Saccharomyces cerevisiae S288C: one gene and its partners. The gene in region 2 interacts genetically with the main gene of each other region. Each region holds a gene or a part of one and is shown on either strand. Other genes may lie near its edges.

The links. A genetic interaction does not mean that the proteins touch.
Region 1: mutations in YOL036W (region 2) and CUP9 together harm fitness more than expected from each alone (negative genetic interaction), as found in Saccharomyces cerevisiae (one large-scale study listed by BioGRID).
Region 3: mutations in YOL036W (region 2) and DCD1 together harm fitness more than expected from each alone (negative genetic interaction), as found in Saccharomyces cerevisiae (one large-scale study listed by BioGRID).

The regions. Positions count from the first base shown.
Region 1 is NC_001148.4:211,660-216,245, forward strand, and holds CUP9 (Cup9p), read right to left. Parts: upstream 2,304-4,586; coding exon 1,383-2,303; downstream 1-1,382. Other genes in the region: nuclear cap-binding protein subunit CBC2, read left to right, coding at 499-1,125; TRE1 (Tre1p), read right to left, coding at 4,353-4,586. UniProt on the Saccharomyces cerevisiae protein: Probable DNA-binding protein which plays a role in protecting yeast cells against copper toxicity. May regulate the expression of important copper homeostatic genes.
Region 2 is NC_001147.6:253,463-259,530, reverse strand, and holds YOL036W (uncharacterized protein), read right to left. Parts: upstream 2,787-6,068; coding exon 501-2,786; downstream 1-500. Other genes in the region: PRE6 (proteasome core particle subunit alpha 4), read right to left, coding at 3,430-4,194; YOL038C-A (uncharacterized protein), read left to right, coding at 4,510-4,605; ribosomal protein P2 RPP2A, read right to left, coding at 4,914-5,234; 40S ribosomal protein uS19 RPS15, read left to right, coding at 5,954-6,068.
Region 3 is NC_001140.6:386,406-391,172, reverse strand, and holds DCD1 (deoxycytidine monophosphate deaminase), read left to right. Parts: upstream 1-2,446; coding exon 2,447-3,385; downstream 3,386-4,767. Other genes in the region: CRP1 (Crp1p), read right to left, coding at 1-873; DNA-directed RNA polymerase core subunit RPC10, read right to left, coding at 3,728-3,940; DSE2 (Dse2p), read right to left, coding at 4,686-4,767. UniProt on the Saccharomyces cerevisiae protein: Catalyzes the hydrolytic deamination of dCMP to yield dUMP, the nucleotide substrate for thymidylate synthetase.

The sequences.
Region 1 (4,586 bases), on a different chromosome or scaffold from region 2:
CAAATGATGAGAAATAGTCATCTAAATTAGTGGAAGCTGAAACGCAAGGATTGATAATGTAATAGGATCAATGAATATTAACATATAAAATGATGATAATAATATTTATAGAATTGTGTAGAATTGCAGATTCCCTTTCATGGATTCCTAAATCCTTGAGGAGAACTTCTAGTATATCTATATACCTAATATTATAGCCTTAATCACAATGGAATCCCAACAATTACATCAAAATCCACATTGTCTACAGTAAAAGTATACCACTAATAGATTTGTAATTGGTGTATGAAGTAGTGTATGGTATAAACGTTAATAAGTGCTTATCAAAGTATTACCCGCTTTAACAGTTTTTGTGTTTTTTTCAAGAAAAATATTATATGTATGAATATAGAACATGAGTTTATATGGAGAAAGTGTCTCGACAGCTTTTAAAGTCCCGAAAGGACTAATATCGAATAAAAGTTGCATCCATTAATATACCAATAAATAAAGGGAAAGATGTCCCTGGAAGAATTTGACGAAGTTAAATATGATCATTCAACTAAACGCCTAGATACACCATCAAGGTACCTGCTGCGCAAGGCTAGAAGAAACCCTAACGGGCTACAAGAACTGCGTGAGTCGATGAAGTCATCCACAATTTATGTAGGAAATCTTTCCTTTTATACATCAGAAGAACAAATTTACGAATTATTCAGTAAATGTGGCACAATAAAAAGAATAATTATGGGTTTGGACCGTTTTAAGTTCACGCCATGTGGCTTCTGTTTTATTATATATAGTTGTCCAGATGAAGCATTGAATGCCTTAAAATATTTGTCCGATACAAAGTTAGACGAAAAGACAATTACCATTGATCTAGATCCTGGTTTTGAAGATGGAAGACAGTTTGGTCGTGGTAAGAGCGGTGGTCAAGTCAGCGATGAATTGAGGTTCGATTTTGATGCATCCAGAGGTGGCTTCGCCATTCCATTTGCAGAGCGTGTCGGCGTACCACATTCCAGATTTGATAACAGTAGCTCACAATCTAATACGAATAATTATATCCCTCCTCCTGATGCAATGGGTACTTTCAGACCAGGTTTCGATGAAGAAAGAGAAGATGATAACTACGTACCTCAGTAGAATCAATCAATTTATATCTGAGAAAGATTCTACACACAGATATATATATATATATATATATTATTGTATATATACATACCTACATTATTTTTAAAGGCTTGCATGATGCTGTTATGTAAAAAAAAAAAAAAAAAATCAGTGTAACATAATAGACGTAACACGTTCAATGACATGATAATACTATATATAGTAACGATAAAATGTAAATGGTAATAGATATAATTATATGAATATTTAAGTAATGCATTGATAAGTGATCAATTCATATCAGGGTTGGATAGCTTTTTCAATTCTTCCAGCCTATCAATTAGTTTTTTACGGCGTGTAACGGGGGCATGAGCAAATCTCTTGGATAATTCATAATCCGTGGAGCAGGTTGACGTAGCATCGTACATAGTATTATTTGTGGCAGATAATGTGTTATGATATGCTGAGACGTTTTGAACTCGTTCCACTGGGGTATTATTCGCGTTGTCATTAGGAATTGAGTTTACCAGGGTATAGTAATCACTAAATATTTTGCGTCTTCTCACATTTATGAACCAATTAGAAAGTTGAATCTTGGTTAGCCCAGTTTTGATTAACAACTCCCTCTTTTCTTGTTGAGTTGGGTAGGGGTTATTCAGGTGGTTCAGCAACCAAGTATTCAGTATCTGCACTGTTTCCTTTGGCAGGTTAGACCTCCTGCCCGAATTTTGCTTCCTCCTTGATTTAGATTCTACAAAATCCGAAAATGGCCTGTTGTATTGTGCCCCCGCATCCTTTTCCTTATTGATTATTTCATATATTGGGGCGGATTTGTAGCAGGGCTTTGCATCATCGGACGCCGATTTTGACTTCTTTGAACTGCCATATTGAGATTGTGTATCCATAGCACTGCTACTCGTCTTGGACGTTTCAACTGTAGAAGCAGTAGGAGTAGCAGTAGTACTAGTACCGCCAGAATTAATTGCGGGATACGCAATCGAATGATGCTGTGGAAGTAACACAGGCGCAGGATAGTTTTGTTCCTCGGTACTAGACCGAAGGTTCCCATGCGAGTATTCTATGTTCGAAAATGCCAACTCGGGCATACTCCGTTTTTCTATGGAGTTAAATAGAACTTGGATAGGGGGTAGACTGACTTGATTGTCAACATTCTTACTGTTCCTGTTTTGTATTTCGCAGTTATAATTCATCTTCGAATGTAACTATTCTCGAAGGTTGTTAGCATAAAAGTAGGGGCTCGGCAAGTAGCGATCAGTAGCACTGGATAGGCGTGGTATCGCTTGAAAACAAGGGTGGGAAGATCAACTAAAAAATTGTATTAGTATATATCTTGACCAATTTAACATAATCTTACCAATTAACAGAAACAGGAGGCATTAAGAGACAAGAAAACGCCGGGCGCGACGAAATCAGTCATAGAAAATTAATCATTAATATATACACGCTGTAAGAAAACAAAAGGACAAAAATTAATTACCAAAAGAAAAAAACAAACTACAGCTTGATGTACATGAATAAATTAAGGTTCAACAAAAGAGAAAAGCTGAGAGACGTAAGATGGCAGAAATGACCCGTTCCCACAGAAAGAAATCTGAATCCGAAGAAGGAAGTAATACGCGCGTGAGCGGATAAGGTTTCTTATCTAGCCAATCACAAAAATCAACAGTAGTAATTCTCGTGGGATTCTTTTGTGTCTCTTAAAATTGCCCTTTACGTACAGTCTTCGTCCATTATCAGGACGATTTGACAGAAAATGAGCGAGATCAGAAATATACCGCTACCGATCATGAGTGCTCAGAAAACCCCGTGGATAACCCAACGGTCCGAAAGTGACAGTTTTTTCTTTTGCCGCTTTACTTTTTTTGCGTCTTAAAGGGCTGTGGCTCCTCTGCGCCTGCGCCAGAGTAGCGGTAGGGTTCTTACTTCGGGCAACGCCGACTCTGGGTGCATTCGCCAGTGTGAGGAAGCACGCTGCTTGTGCTTGTTGGAAGTGTGGACTAGGTCAAGCCCGCCGGACACTAGGAAACACGCACAAAATTCTCAGGCACTAAATAGGCCAGAAGCAAAAAGCCGTCGGTAGTGCTCCTTTTCTCTGTTGCCGTTAACGGTCAGGTCTGTTAAGACACATAACGAAAAGCATATGTATAATAGGCACCGACATTTGTGCGGCATATTCTGTGCTTAGTTTGCAGTACAAGACGAGCTTCGGAGGCATACTACTTTAATCATATTTGCTCACTTTTAAGTTGCTCACTTTCTAATACGTGCATTCCTTTACAAGCTTACTAACACATTGGCTTGGCACTTAAAACACTAATGAAACGTGTTTAAGGGGCCCGACAATATTGCTATTATGTCGCTCTCAACAGCTTGTTTGCGAATTTTAAATTTGATAGCTCCCTCTTTCTCCTCCTCTACCGTTCGACATGACTAAAAGGCGTTGGCACGATTTTCTTTGATGCTAATGTAATCAAGTCAAGTATGGGTTGCTTTGACGATCCAGATGCAGAAGTCAAAGTTACGAGTCAAAACCTACGAGACTAGACATATCTCTGCAGATGAAAAGGCCTGTTCTATAAAAAAAAAATCACTGTTAAAGTTCAGACAGAAGCTTATTTCAAGGAAAGCACTGTGATTGATTTATTCACTATCGAGTTTCTACAGGTGTTGAAGTTCATATATTTGCACGTGCTCGTAGCTCTTTTCTTCCTTTTTGAGACATAAAAATATGGAATATCTTGGCACCCGTTACAAGCCGTCTCTAAAAATATACATGGCGTACATAATAATCTCCAGCTGATTCAAATATCCCGCGCTTTTCCCGTGGTAAATACTGTGTGTCCTATTAGGCTTTCTCTTGGCATTTCACTTCTTAACCTCTAAGGTATTCAAGGGGCGGAGGTGTAATAAAAACAAGAAAAAAAAAAAAAAGAGGAAATTTGTGGCAATCTTCCTAATATAACTATGTTGAAATGTGTGTACTAACACCTTATACTATCTATATCCTTTGTCTAAACAGCTCTGCCGATAAAAAAATTCCCCGCGGAGATGTCCATACTGACTAATAAAATTGTCCCGCACAGGCAAAAAGCAACTTTAAATGCATGGGCTCCTAATCTTAGAATTAAACGTATTTAGTCTTCCTAGGCAAGAAATCTACAAGTCATAGGAGTATATGTTGTGTATACTATAGTTGATTGCCTGCATAAATCGATGTGTAATTTTCTTTCAACCGATAACTAAAATTCGTTCGTGTTTATTCCATGAAGGTTTTTATTCTCAAGAAAATAGCGTGCTGTATTTTGTAAAATTGTGCCGAGTGTGTTAGCTTGAACCTGCACAGAGCTCCAGTCCTTGATTGCAATAGTGTCCCTGATTTCAGGGAACGTCCATGAACGAAGTGGGTCACCTTTGTCGACCCAGAGTTTTGGCCCGAAGATAACGTTCTTGTAAAAGGTTCTATCCATTAACCC
Region 2 (6,068 bases):
CGAAAAATCTGCTGCAAATTGCTACCTCTTTCATCATTCTAAAGTAAGTCCTTCTCTTATTCCTAGATGTTCGAGCAATACCAATTAAACTTGGCACGATGCGTGCAATTAAGAGTAATCGGGCACTGCACTCCGACTGGAGTCCGACGAATATCGTAGTGATCTTTTTTATCTACAGTACTGGTTGCTTATATCTTCCAGTGTATATATTCAATGTGGGAAGGAGGGAAAGGTCATTTTGCTAATTTTCATTTTTTCTCGCCTTTTAAAGCATGAGAAGAAAAGTTGACCATGTGTGCCAAAAAAAAAAAAGGTAGGGCTACCATCCTAATTAGAGTAATTTAAGGAATTTATTAAAATGCAATGTTAACTTTTTATAGAGTGCGTAAATAACTATGTAATGGTAAATACATGGCATACAGTATATGCGTGTTTACCACCATATATACGTGTATACTTATATTTTGTCTGCCGTTATATATAGCCAAGACCTTTTTCCTTCATGGGTTGTTCAACTTTCCACGGTAAAATCGGACATAATCAGACCATATCTTATTCATGGAAATTCGTTTCTTTTTCAAATACTGCAGGTCCTTATCACTGCACCATCTACAAGATGCAAATTTTCTTTCCAAAACAGCATACCTTTCATCTTCCTTGCGTTGCTGCTGAGCCAGGATTTCCACGTATTCCTTGGCATTGAGCTTCATGCCTTCTTTGTTTCTTAAATTGGTAATGCATAATCCGATGGTAGATTGCGTTTGTAACGACGAGCGATTGATGCGATGAGTACCCTCTGTGACAGAGAGTACGGGAACAAAACTTTGTAAGGCTTCTTTATCCAGATATATTTCACTTGGCTTTGTTTGCTGTTCAGGCAGTACATTTTTTTTGCTTGAATTTTTAGACAGTATCTTTCTACTTGACGTTCTTTTAGGAACATTAATCTTACCTTCTTCGCGTAGTGGAGAGATGTCGTCTGTTGATGATTCTGGAAGAGATGTTGATGCTCGATTAAATGTACTCACGCCATCTATTGAAACTCGATCATTTTCTTTTGAGACTGGCGTTGTCGGATGTCCTCCCACGGTTGATAAAGAGGAAAACGACAATTCTGTAGGCCCCGTAGTCACCATAGATTTGGGTGATAAAGTGAGAATTTCCTTACTATTATTACTGTCGCTCAATATTCTAGTAAAACCTCTCTTTATCTTAGAACCTAGAGATGTCTTTCTGTAGACGTGTTCTGTGTCATTTGGAGTGGACACTAAGACCTCCTCCGAAGCTCGACTGCTATTCGCAAACTTGCTGTCCGAATTGAGGCGCGAATAAAGCTTCGAGCACGAAAGCTGCCTCCTAGGTAGTTTATTATCAATAGTGGAAGATCGTCGAATTAGCATGGGCTGCCGAGCATTTAGATCTGACTCAAATGTTGAGGATGTCGATAAAGTAGGTGTATTTGTTCTGGTTAAATTGGAGCAATTTTTGGCAGATGTCTTTCTTAATAGGGCACTAGATGCTCTTCTCAAAAAAGGCATTTTCTTTTCTCCCCCTGTCAGTCCGGATTCAGACTGAAACGTAACAGGCGTTTGAGTGTTTGATACTGGTGTAGGTAAGTTATGAAAGTGTAAGGCGATATTGTTCTCAGCTGGTGCTACCTTGGCGTACTGGTTCGAAATTTGGGTGCTTAAGGGTGGCAATTTCTGAAGACGATCTTCAAAAGTCACCGTATTCTTCCTACTCCTGTTACTCTTCCTTGATAACTTTCTTTCTACAGAATTAATATTTTGAGGCAGTCCTGAAATGATCGTATCTCTCAGTGTAGATGCCAGTGCACTAGAATTAGATCTGCTTCTTTCTCTCAAAGGTGCATTGTTCTGTTGCTGTTCACGGACAGAGGAAGGTAAAACAGGAATTGGAGTTATTATTTTCTTGGGATCATATTGCATTGTTGCCCCGTGATCCGACGTAGAGGAGGACGAAGTCGTGTTTGCTTCACGTTCTGCGCTTTCAGGAGATGATAAATTTGGTTTCAGAGTGGAATTGCTTACCGGTGTCCTTGAACGTCTTCCCTCAGAACCGGAACTATTAATAATATTAGAAATATTTGAATGGCTAGTCATCTCTAGAGCTTTAGAAAGATCAAATGACGTCTGATTGTCAAGAATAGTAGCGCTTAATTGCGAATCGTCGTTTGTCGACGCATCGTGGCCATGAGTCATGACAACAAACCCCTGATCTTCACCCGTAGCATCTCGAGTAGAGTTCGCTAACTTTGTTAACACGTCATCTGGTTCTAGCCTTGAAGAGTGGCTGATGTCATCTCGTTCAAAAATAGCCTCGTTGATATCAAATTGTGGAGTGATTTCCATTTCTCCTGTGTGAGGTAAAGGTGGTAACAAAGCCAATTCTTCTTTACTGTTACCTTTATCGCTGAGAACGCCCAGTTCCTCATGCAAATTAGGAGCTGATAAAGAAATATTAGTATTTGATTTTTCTATTTCGTGTAACATGTCCAAGTTATCGCGCAAATCAATATTGGATGAAGATGAGGACGTAGAGGAGATCCTCCCCAAAACACGAGGAGATGAACGATCCACTTGGGTGAGTTCGTCATCGTTTGTTTCCTCCTCCTTAATATTTTGCAAATGCGTAGTAACTGTTGTTGAGCTCGATGTTGGTGTGGCGCTCTTGGGCATCGTAGGCAGGGTAGTACCGTTATACACAGTGACTCTATTAGAGCCAGAGTTCCTGAATCTAGGTGGCGAACTATCTTGGTGTTCCATGACAAACTTTTGTGAACTTTTTTTTTATTTCTTTTCTTTTTTCTTCTCAAAGAAAAGACCAAATATCGATTCTAAATAGGTATCAATAAGTTATAATAATGTATTGGAAATTATTTCTTAAAAAACAGGATTTTAAATTGGATATATAAATAAGATAATGTTTTGATAATGAATGGGGTATAATGGTACGATAAGTCTTTTATGACTCGCAAAATTCACAGCGTTGTTCGATAAACCGGGCAAAGTATGGGCATATAGGCGTATGGAAAGAAAATTATGGGAAAAAGTACAGTATTTTGGTTTTCTTTTTCTTTATAGAAACAAAAACACTGTGTGTGGAAATTAGGGAGTAGAATGCGTGTGGCAGATGGTAAGCTTTTCAAATCGGACTGTGAATATATATTCAATTTAAAGAAGCAAACTTTATGAGTGGGCAGTTTTTGAAGTCATTCCATTCCATTCTATATCAGCAAGTTTTCTTGGCGAGATCCGAAATCCGAAAAACATGAGATCGTATTAAATGATATAATGTAAGGCTCGTTAAAACATATATGAGCTAACTATACCGTGCTATGTTATATTTTGCATTTTTATTATTGCTGTTATTTTATATAGGTTTTATGCCCAATATATATCGCCGTTTTTAATGGTTAGATTTTTTCTTTTTGTCCTGCTCTTGCTGCTCTTGCTTTTCTTGTTCGATTTGGGTGACGTACTGGTTAATTTCCTCACTGCTCAACGCAACAATATCTGAGTCCGGCTTAACAACAGTGATTTCAATATTTTTTGCACCTGTTTGAACTACCTCCAACAGAGATCTTACAGTAAGTTTGACACATTCTTCCACTGTGGCTGGTGGTTCTTTGCGATCGTAATTCTTCTCCAAAAACTCACGTACCGTCTTGGAGTTTCTCCCAATGGTCTGAGCGGACCACGAAGAGTATATACCACTTGGCTCGGTCTGGTAAAGCTTGGGTTCATCATCTCTCGGGTCGAAGCCGGCAATCAGCGTCGACACACCAAATGGTCTAACACCTCCTGACTGCGTGTACCTTTGTTGCACACCAGCGACATAACGTGTGAGATACTCCACCGTCACGGGATCCTCCAACGTTAGTCTGTGACTTTGGGCCTCCACTCTAGCCTTCTCGATAAGAATTCTGGAATCTGCATTTAAACCAGAAAATGACAACACCACATGCGAGTCAATTTTGGAAACTTTGGAAGGCGTAATTCTAGTGTCTTGCAGCTTCAAAGTAGACCTTCTTTCGCAGCCCAATACTACACAATTCTTACCCTTGACACCTACAGCACAGGTACCCCTCTTTACCGCCTCCAGGGCGTACTCCACTTGGAAAATGTGTCCATCTGGGGAGAAAATGGACAAAGCTCTATCGTAACCACTCATTTTGTGTAATTGTGTTTATGCAACTGATCCTGATGAACTGCTGAGCACTAACTTGAAGGTTTTGCTACCACCTATATATGATGTCTTTTCTTTCCCTTCCGGTGGCAAAAGAATCTTCGAAAAGATTAAGAAATACCGTTGCCCGGATGATATTCTTACCCATAGTAATGGTCCTTAAAGCTTTAATCGTCAATGAACAAGGGCACACAGCACACTAGGTCTCAATTCATTTCCAAATATTCAAAGAAAGCGACGTGAGTATTTTATTTAAGTACTAGGTACGCAATTGATGGGATATTCAACTTATATGATTTGATGAAATACATGGGGTCCTTCCTGAGGAAAGCGGCTACAACAAATTTATTCAATAGCATAAAAAAAAGGAAGGTACAAAACAGAGCCATGTCATAGAGCAAAGAAAGAGCACACATAATATTCTAACCAGTAAAACAATCGGTTTGAATTTTGAAGATGAAGAAGTATATTTATATATAATTTCTTCCCTTTTTTTTTTATTTTTTTTTTGAAACAATGCATTAAACCATTACTTATATTATTTATATGTATAAATAGATATTAAATCATGGATTTAAACTTGAAAAGGATTAGGAAAAAAAGAGTATGGTCGCCGTAAAAAAGAGGAAAGGGTTTATTTTTGCGCCCTTCCCTCTATAACTTCCAAGATATGATATAACGAGATTGCACAAATTTACTCAACCTTAGTCGAATAAACCGAAACCCATGTCGTCGTCAGATTCTTCAGCGGCTTCTTCTTCCTTTTCTTCTTCAGCAGCAGCATCACCAGAGGCAGCAGCAGCACCGCCAGCAGAAGCTGGACCAGCAGCTGGAACAGCAGCCAACTTTTCGTTACCTTCAGTAATTAATTCGTCAACAGACTTACCTTCCAAAGCGGACAAAACGGAGGAAACCTTTTCGTCTTCGATTTCGATACCGACGGATTCCAAAATAGCCTTAATCTTGGTGGCATCTGGGGTGTTACCAGCAGCGTTCAATAATAGGTAAGCAGCTAAGTACTTCATTTTTGTATGATTGGTTCTGTTGTTGTGTATGAATTTCCAATGAGAAAAAAATCACTAAAATAATAGAAAAAGCTTTTGAATAAACGGAAGTAGAAATTACCAGAAGTAACAATTGAAAAACCTCGAATAATAACGGCTCTCCGCTACTAGGTTAACTAAACTTCAAGCGGGTATCAACGCTTTGGAGTTCCATGCAAAATGTTTCACGTTTCGCGCGTCTTCCGCATATCGTCCGGTATAGTCTCTCCCCTGGTATTCCCCTCGGCTGCCATGAGTTACAGCCTCAAAACAGGTACAAAACTTTTTTAATCCGTACACCGCGCGTATAAATCAATGTTATGTCTGGGCGTATAGTCCCGGAAACCGTGTTGGGCGGCAGTTCCGCCCAACACGGGCCTAGACACTTAGAGGGAGCGTCCTCCTAGAACCGATTTTCGTTTCTCTTTGGAAGGTCTCTTCCGTCCGTTTCACTCGGAGTAGGTTCTCTGAGAAACTCCTTGCTGGGAAGCTGCGAGACAACACCGTAATCGTCTGCTTGGCCCTTCCTATCCGCAATCAATTTATTCCTTTTTAATCTTTTGTGCAGAGTTTCACATTATGGTATGGTCTCTTCTTTTATTTGTTCTTGGATTTCATTTTTTTCTTATTTGTTAGTGCTTATCCTTACATTGTAGAATAAGACGAACTAGAAGTACACAACAAGATAATCACGACCGATCATGTCTCAAGCTGTTAATGCCAAGAAGAGAGTTTTTAAGACCCACTCTTACAGAGGTGTCGATTTGGAAAAATTGTTGGAAATGTCCACTGAAGATTTCGTCAAGTTGGCCCCAG
Region 3 (4,767 bases), on a different chromosome or scaffold from region 2:
CACATTATGAGCCACTTCCTTGGTCTCAACAATCGGGTCGTCAGCTTGTGGAAGAGCAGGACTCTTTTCCGTAACTGATGATTCAACAATAGGGCCAGCAACGGGTTCTGGAACCTCTTCTTTTTTGTTAAGTCTTTCATTCAATTCCCTAGCATCAACGTCTCTAATTTCGGTAAATTCCTTGATTTCACCAGGGTTTGGGACAAGAACAGGACCTGGTCCACCAATTATACCATTTGATTGAGTTGTGTCTGCACTTTGATCGATTGGCAGAATATGGAAATTGCCCGGAGCTTCTTTGGAAACATTAGTAGGCTCCGCCAATGGAGTTTCTTCCCTAGAGGTTCCAGTAACATCTTCAGTAGTAGTTCCAGTCACCCCGTCTTCTTCTTCATTATCGTCTAAACTTTCATTTGACTTCTTGTTGTTCTTAGTACTCTTTTTCTTCAATTTAGATCTTCTTTTCTTATTGTTACGCTTGTTTTTCTTTCTATTACTTGTAGAAGGAGGACCTGCTGAACGAGGCGGTTTACCACATAATAGGCCACCTGCCTCCGGGATTCTACTGGCACCGGCAACTTCCTGCGTTTCAACTAAATCGGTAATTTGTAAGAAATTGTTTTCGATTCCTTCACTAACATGCTCCTTTTTATACGAATCACTAACGCACCAAACGCCATCCACAATAAACTTAAACTGAAACGTATCATCCTTGTTGGCTAGCTTCACGGGCATAGTAATTTCGAAATTTCCCTTGGCGGTCTTCACGAGGGGTAAAGTGCCCCTCCAGTCATCAAACGTTCCTGTTAAAATAACATCTTTTGGACCAGCAGGCCAGCTAAAAGTATAGTTGAACATGAGTTCACTACTCATTTTTATTGATAGATTAGTTTTCTTAGTGATTTTTGTATCTTTTATTTTGTAAGTACAAAAAACGTATCAGAAAATGATAAAACCTTGTTCAAATCCTTGTTTGTATTGTTTACCAGGCGATGAGATCGGGTTTCAACAATTTTAGCAACGCCACTTTTCCTAACGGGTAACACACCAAGATAAATGGCGTCAGAGCGTCTTTTTTATGCACAGAAAAACCAGTAGAACACATTAATTAATATTATAACTACATAGCATTTACTTGGGTTGAAATGGTGAAACCTTACCTGGAACTGCTTATTGAAGCATAGAAATAGGTGCACAGTGGAACCCAAAAAGTTTATCGGCAACTTTACCTTCAGTGTCTTGATAATAAGGCAAACGCTAGGGTCAATTGAAGAAGAATTTCTGTTAGGTAAATTAATAGTGTCATTGGTATTAGTAGAATATTACCCGTCGAAATAGAACCAACTATCGTCTATCGACTAATATTCATACTGCTAGTATATTATTATATCCAGTGTAAGAAGATGACTTTAAGATTGAAAAATAATCTTCATAATTTAATGGAAGCTGAAACGCAAAGATTGATAATGCAATAGGATGACGAATGACGACATAAAAAACGGAAGAAGAAATACCAGTAACATTATGTAGAATAGGAATTTCCTTTATCAATAGTCGGATCATAACGGTTGCATTAAAATTTGGGATATTGGTGAATAATTTGATAATTTTTGGCATTCTGTAATTGATAAAGCTATAACATCAAATACAGAATATATAAAAGTGTTGGAATAAAAATCAACTATCATCTACTAACTAGTATTTACGTTACTAGTATATTATCATATACGGTGTTAGAAGATGACGCAAATGATGAGAAATAGTCATCTAAATTAGTGGAAGCTGAAACGCAAGGATTGATAATGTAATAGGATCAATGAATATTAACATATAAAATGATGATAATAATATTTATAGAATTGTGTAGAATTGCAGATTCCCTTTTATGGATTCCTAAATCCTCGAGGAGAACTTCTAGTACATTCTACATACCTAATATTATTGCCTTATTAAAAATGGAATCCCAACAATTATCTCAAAATTCACCCACTCTTCAAAAAGACATTCTCCTCAAGAAATCCACAAAAAGGAATCAACAGTTACGCATAATAATATTTCTTTTCCTTCCTTCTTCTTCATATTTTGCCATTCTCCATCCAGTTGCATCTTTAAGATGCTCCCGTCTCTTTTTATGCCTACATAGTTTAATTCTTTATTTAGAACACCAACAGATACATGGGCGTGTGGTCTAGTGGTATGATTCTCGCTTTGGGCGACTTCCTGCCTAAACAGGAAGACAAAGCATGCGAGAGGCCCTGGGTTCAATTCCCAGCTCGCCCCATTATAATTTTTTCACTTTTTTGTTCTTTGCAAGAACGCGCGGTACGCAGTTATGAGATGATGTAGGCAATCTCGAGAATTGAAACTTCTGCATTACCATAGAATTCAACATCTTTTTTTGGCACATTAAAGGTGTGAATGCTACACTAATCAATATAACACGATTATGTTAATTGGTGTAAGTGGTACGAAATTTTGCGGATGCGAAGATGTTATTAACATGTTGGTTGATCATTTTCATTTTGAATTACTCAATCACCTAGATAATCCAGAGGAGATATTAGATTATGCTACGAAAAATTACACAAAAAATTCAGTTATATTCCTAGAAAAATTATCATTACTGGAGAAACTGGAAAAGAGACCATTTTTTGTTCATCTTTCTATCGACGCTCCTGTCACTACAAGGGTAGCATTATACAGGAAAACGACTCAAGCAGAAAGCTTATCATTAGAACAAATAATACAAGCCATTGATCAACATGACTTTCAGCCTGAAGGCATCAAATTAAGGGAGAAATCCCATTTGAGATTTAAAATAGTTAATGAGGACCGCAGAGGAAGGAGACAGAGCTTGATTAATAACATTACCACACAATTAAAGATTCTCGATGACAAAGAGAAACAAATGGCTCCATTAATGAGGCCTAGTTGGGATAGCTATTTTATGAAGTTAGCCACACTAGCAGCATCTCGTTCCAATTGCATGAAACGTAGAGTTGGTTGCGTGATTGTGAGAGAATGCAGAGTGATTGCTACTGGCTATAATGGGACTCCTCGACATTTAACAAATTGTTTCAATGGCGGTTGCCCACGTTGCAATGACGGTGATTCTAGAAATCTGCACACTTGCTTATGCTTACATGCAGAAGAGAATGCACTACTGGAAGCTGGCAGGGATCGTGTAGGTCAAAATGCGACCTTATACTGTGATACTTGCCCTTGCTTAACATGTTCTGTAAAGATTGTTCAAACAGGCATCAGTGAAGTAGTTTATAGCCAAAGTTATAGAATGGACGAGGAAAGTTTCAAGGTCTTGAAGAATGCGGGAATAACCGTCCGGCAATTCAGCTTTACGGAAGAACCAAGAATTGTGATGATTTAATTCATAAGTTCCTTTTCAGTTCGAACTAATGTAACATATATATAAAATACTACATTTAAAAAAAATACAGTACATTGTACAAACTAAAATCACTATAAATAGCGAATACTTTTCTTATATACTATTATTATTATACATTTGTATACACCTTTTTTCATTAATATAATCTCTAAGTGATATACGTTTTCCCTTAAAAAAACATAAAGAATTTGCTGGAAGAAAAGTGCTGCATAAACTTAAATCAAGCACAAGTTTATATATTGCAAAAACCTTGGAAAACCTAGGTTCTTTATTTCGTATTATTCTGCCCCGGTAACCCATTATGGTTTTCAGTCTCTCCATTCATCTAGCTTCAAATTGAACCAATCTCTTAGTCCTAGCCTTCAACAGGATTCTATGACCACAGTCCTTACAACGGACTGCATCAGTTCTGGATAAAGATAATTTACTAGAACATTCAGCACAAATATACTTCAAAGTTGCCGTTCTAGCTTGAGAAGTACCTGCAGCTGCGGCGTCTAAATTTGTTGGAATCTGGAACCCTTCGCGAGACATTGTTATACTTGTGGACTTTTATTCTTGGGTACGTTCTTATTAAATGTTGGTAGAATAAGTCGATGATGTGGAATACTCTTCACTTTTCTGATTCTAAAATCTATTTTAGATGTTAAAGAAATGAAAAAAAAAAAAAAAAAAATTAAAATTCAGAAAAATCATATTCTACGACCGCAGCGTTATATAACGTTACATCGGTGAGGCTAATTGTAGCCTTACCTGGTAATGTACAATGTCGTGGTCATGAGACAAATGTCAAATAGGAAGATGCAATGGAGAACAAATTTGACACACATGATTGAATCATTAAATCTACGGCAATATTTTGTTCTTATTTAGTGTCTCTTTCTCCATATCACTGCTCATATCAGGAAAAACTGTAGATTCTGACAATGTACTCGCCGGAACATTTTGATATATATAGGTGATGTAATTTCCATATGAAAAATACTAAAGACTTGTGATGAATTCATGAAATGAGTGGGGAAGAATCAGTATCCTTAGTAAGAGGTAACTAATAAAATTAAGTTATAGTATACACATTGTATATAATAGTTGAAACTACAAAATGAAAAGATCATGAGAAAAAAACAAAATAAAGAAATTAGGAAACTTAGTCGTTATAACAACACGAGGAAAAATGAATAAATAATACTGTCTTTTTACTATTTTTAACAAAAAATAATGGAAAAAATACGCCTGAGAAAACAAATAGAAAAGAATGCACCACCATTATGCCTAAGCGCTAAATGGTAACCGTAGCATAAATTGTGTTTGTACTAGTTATAGTGGTGGCGGCATCAACGGATTGAGACGGGTTAGTTAAG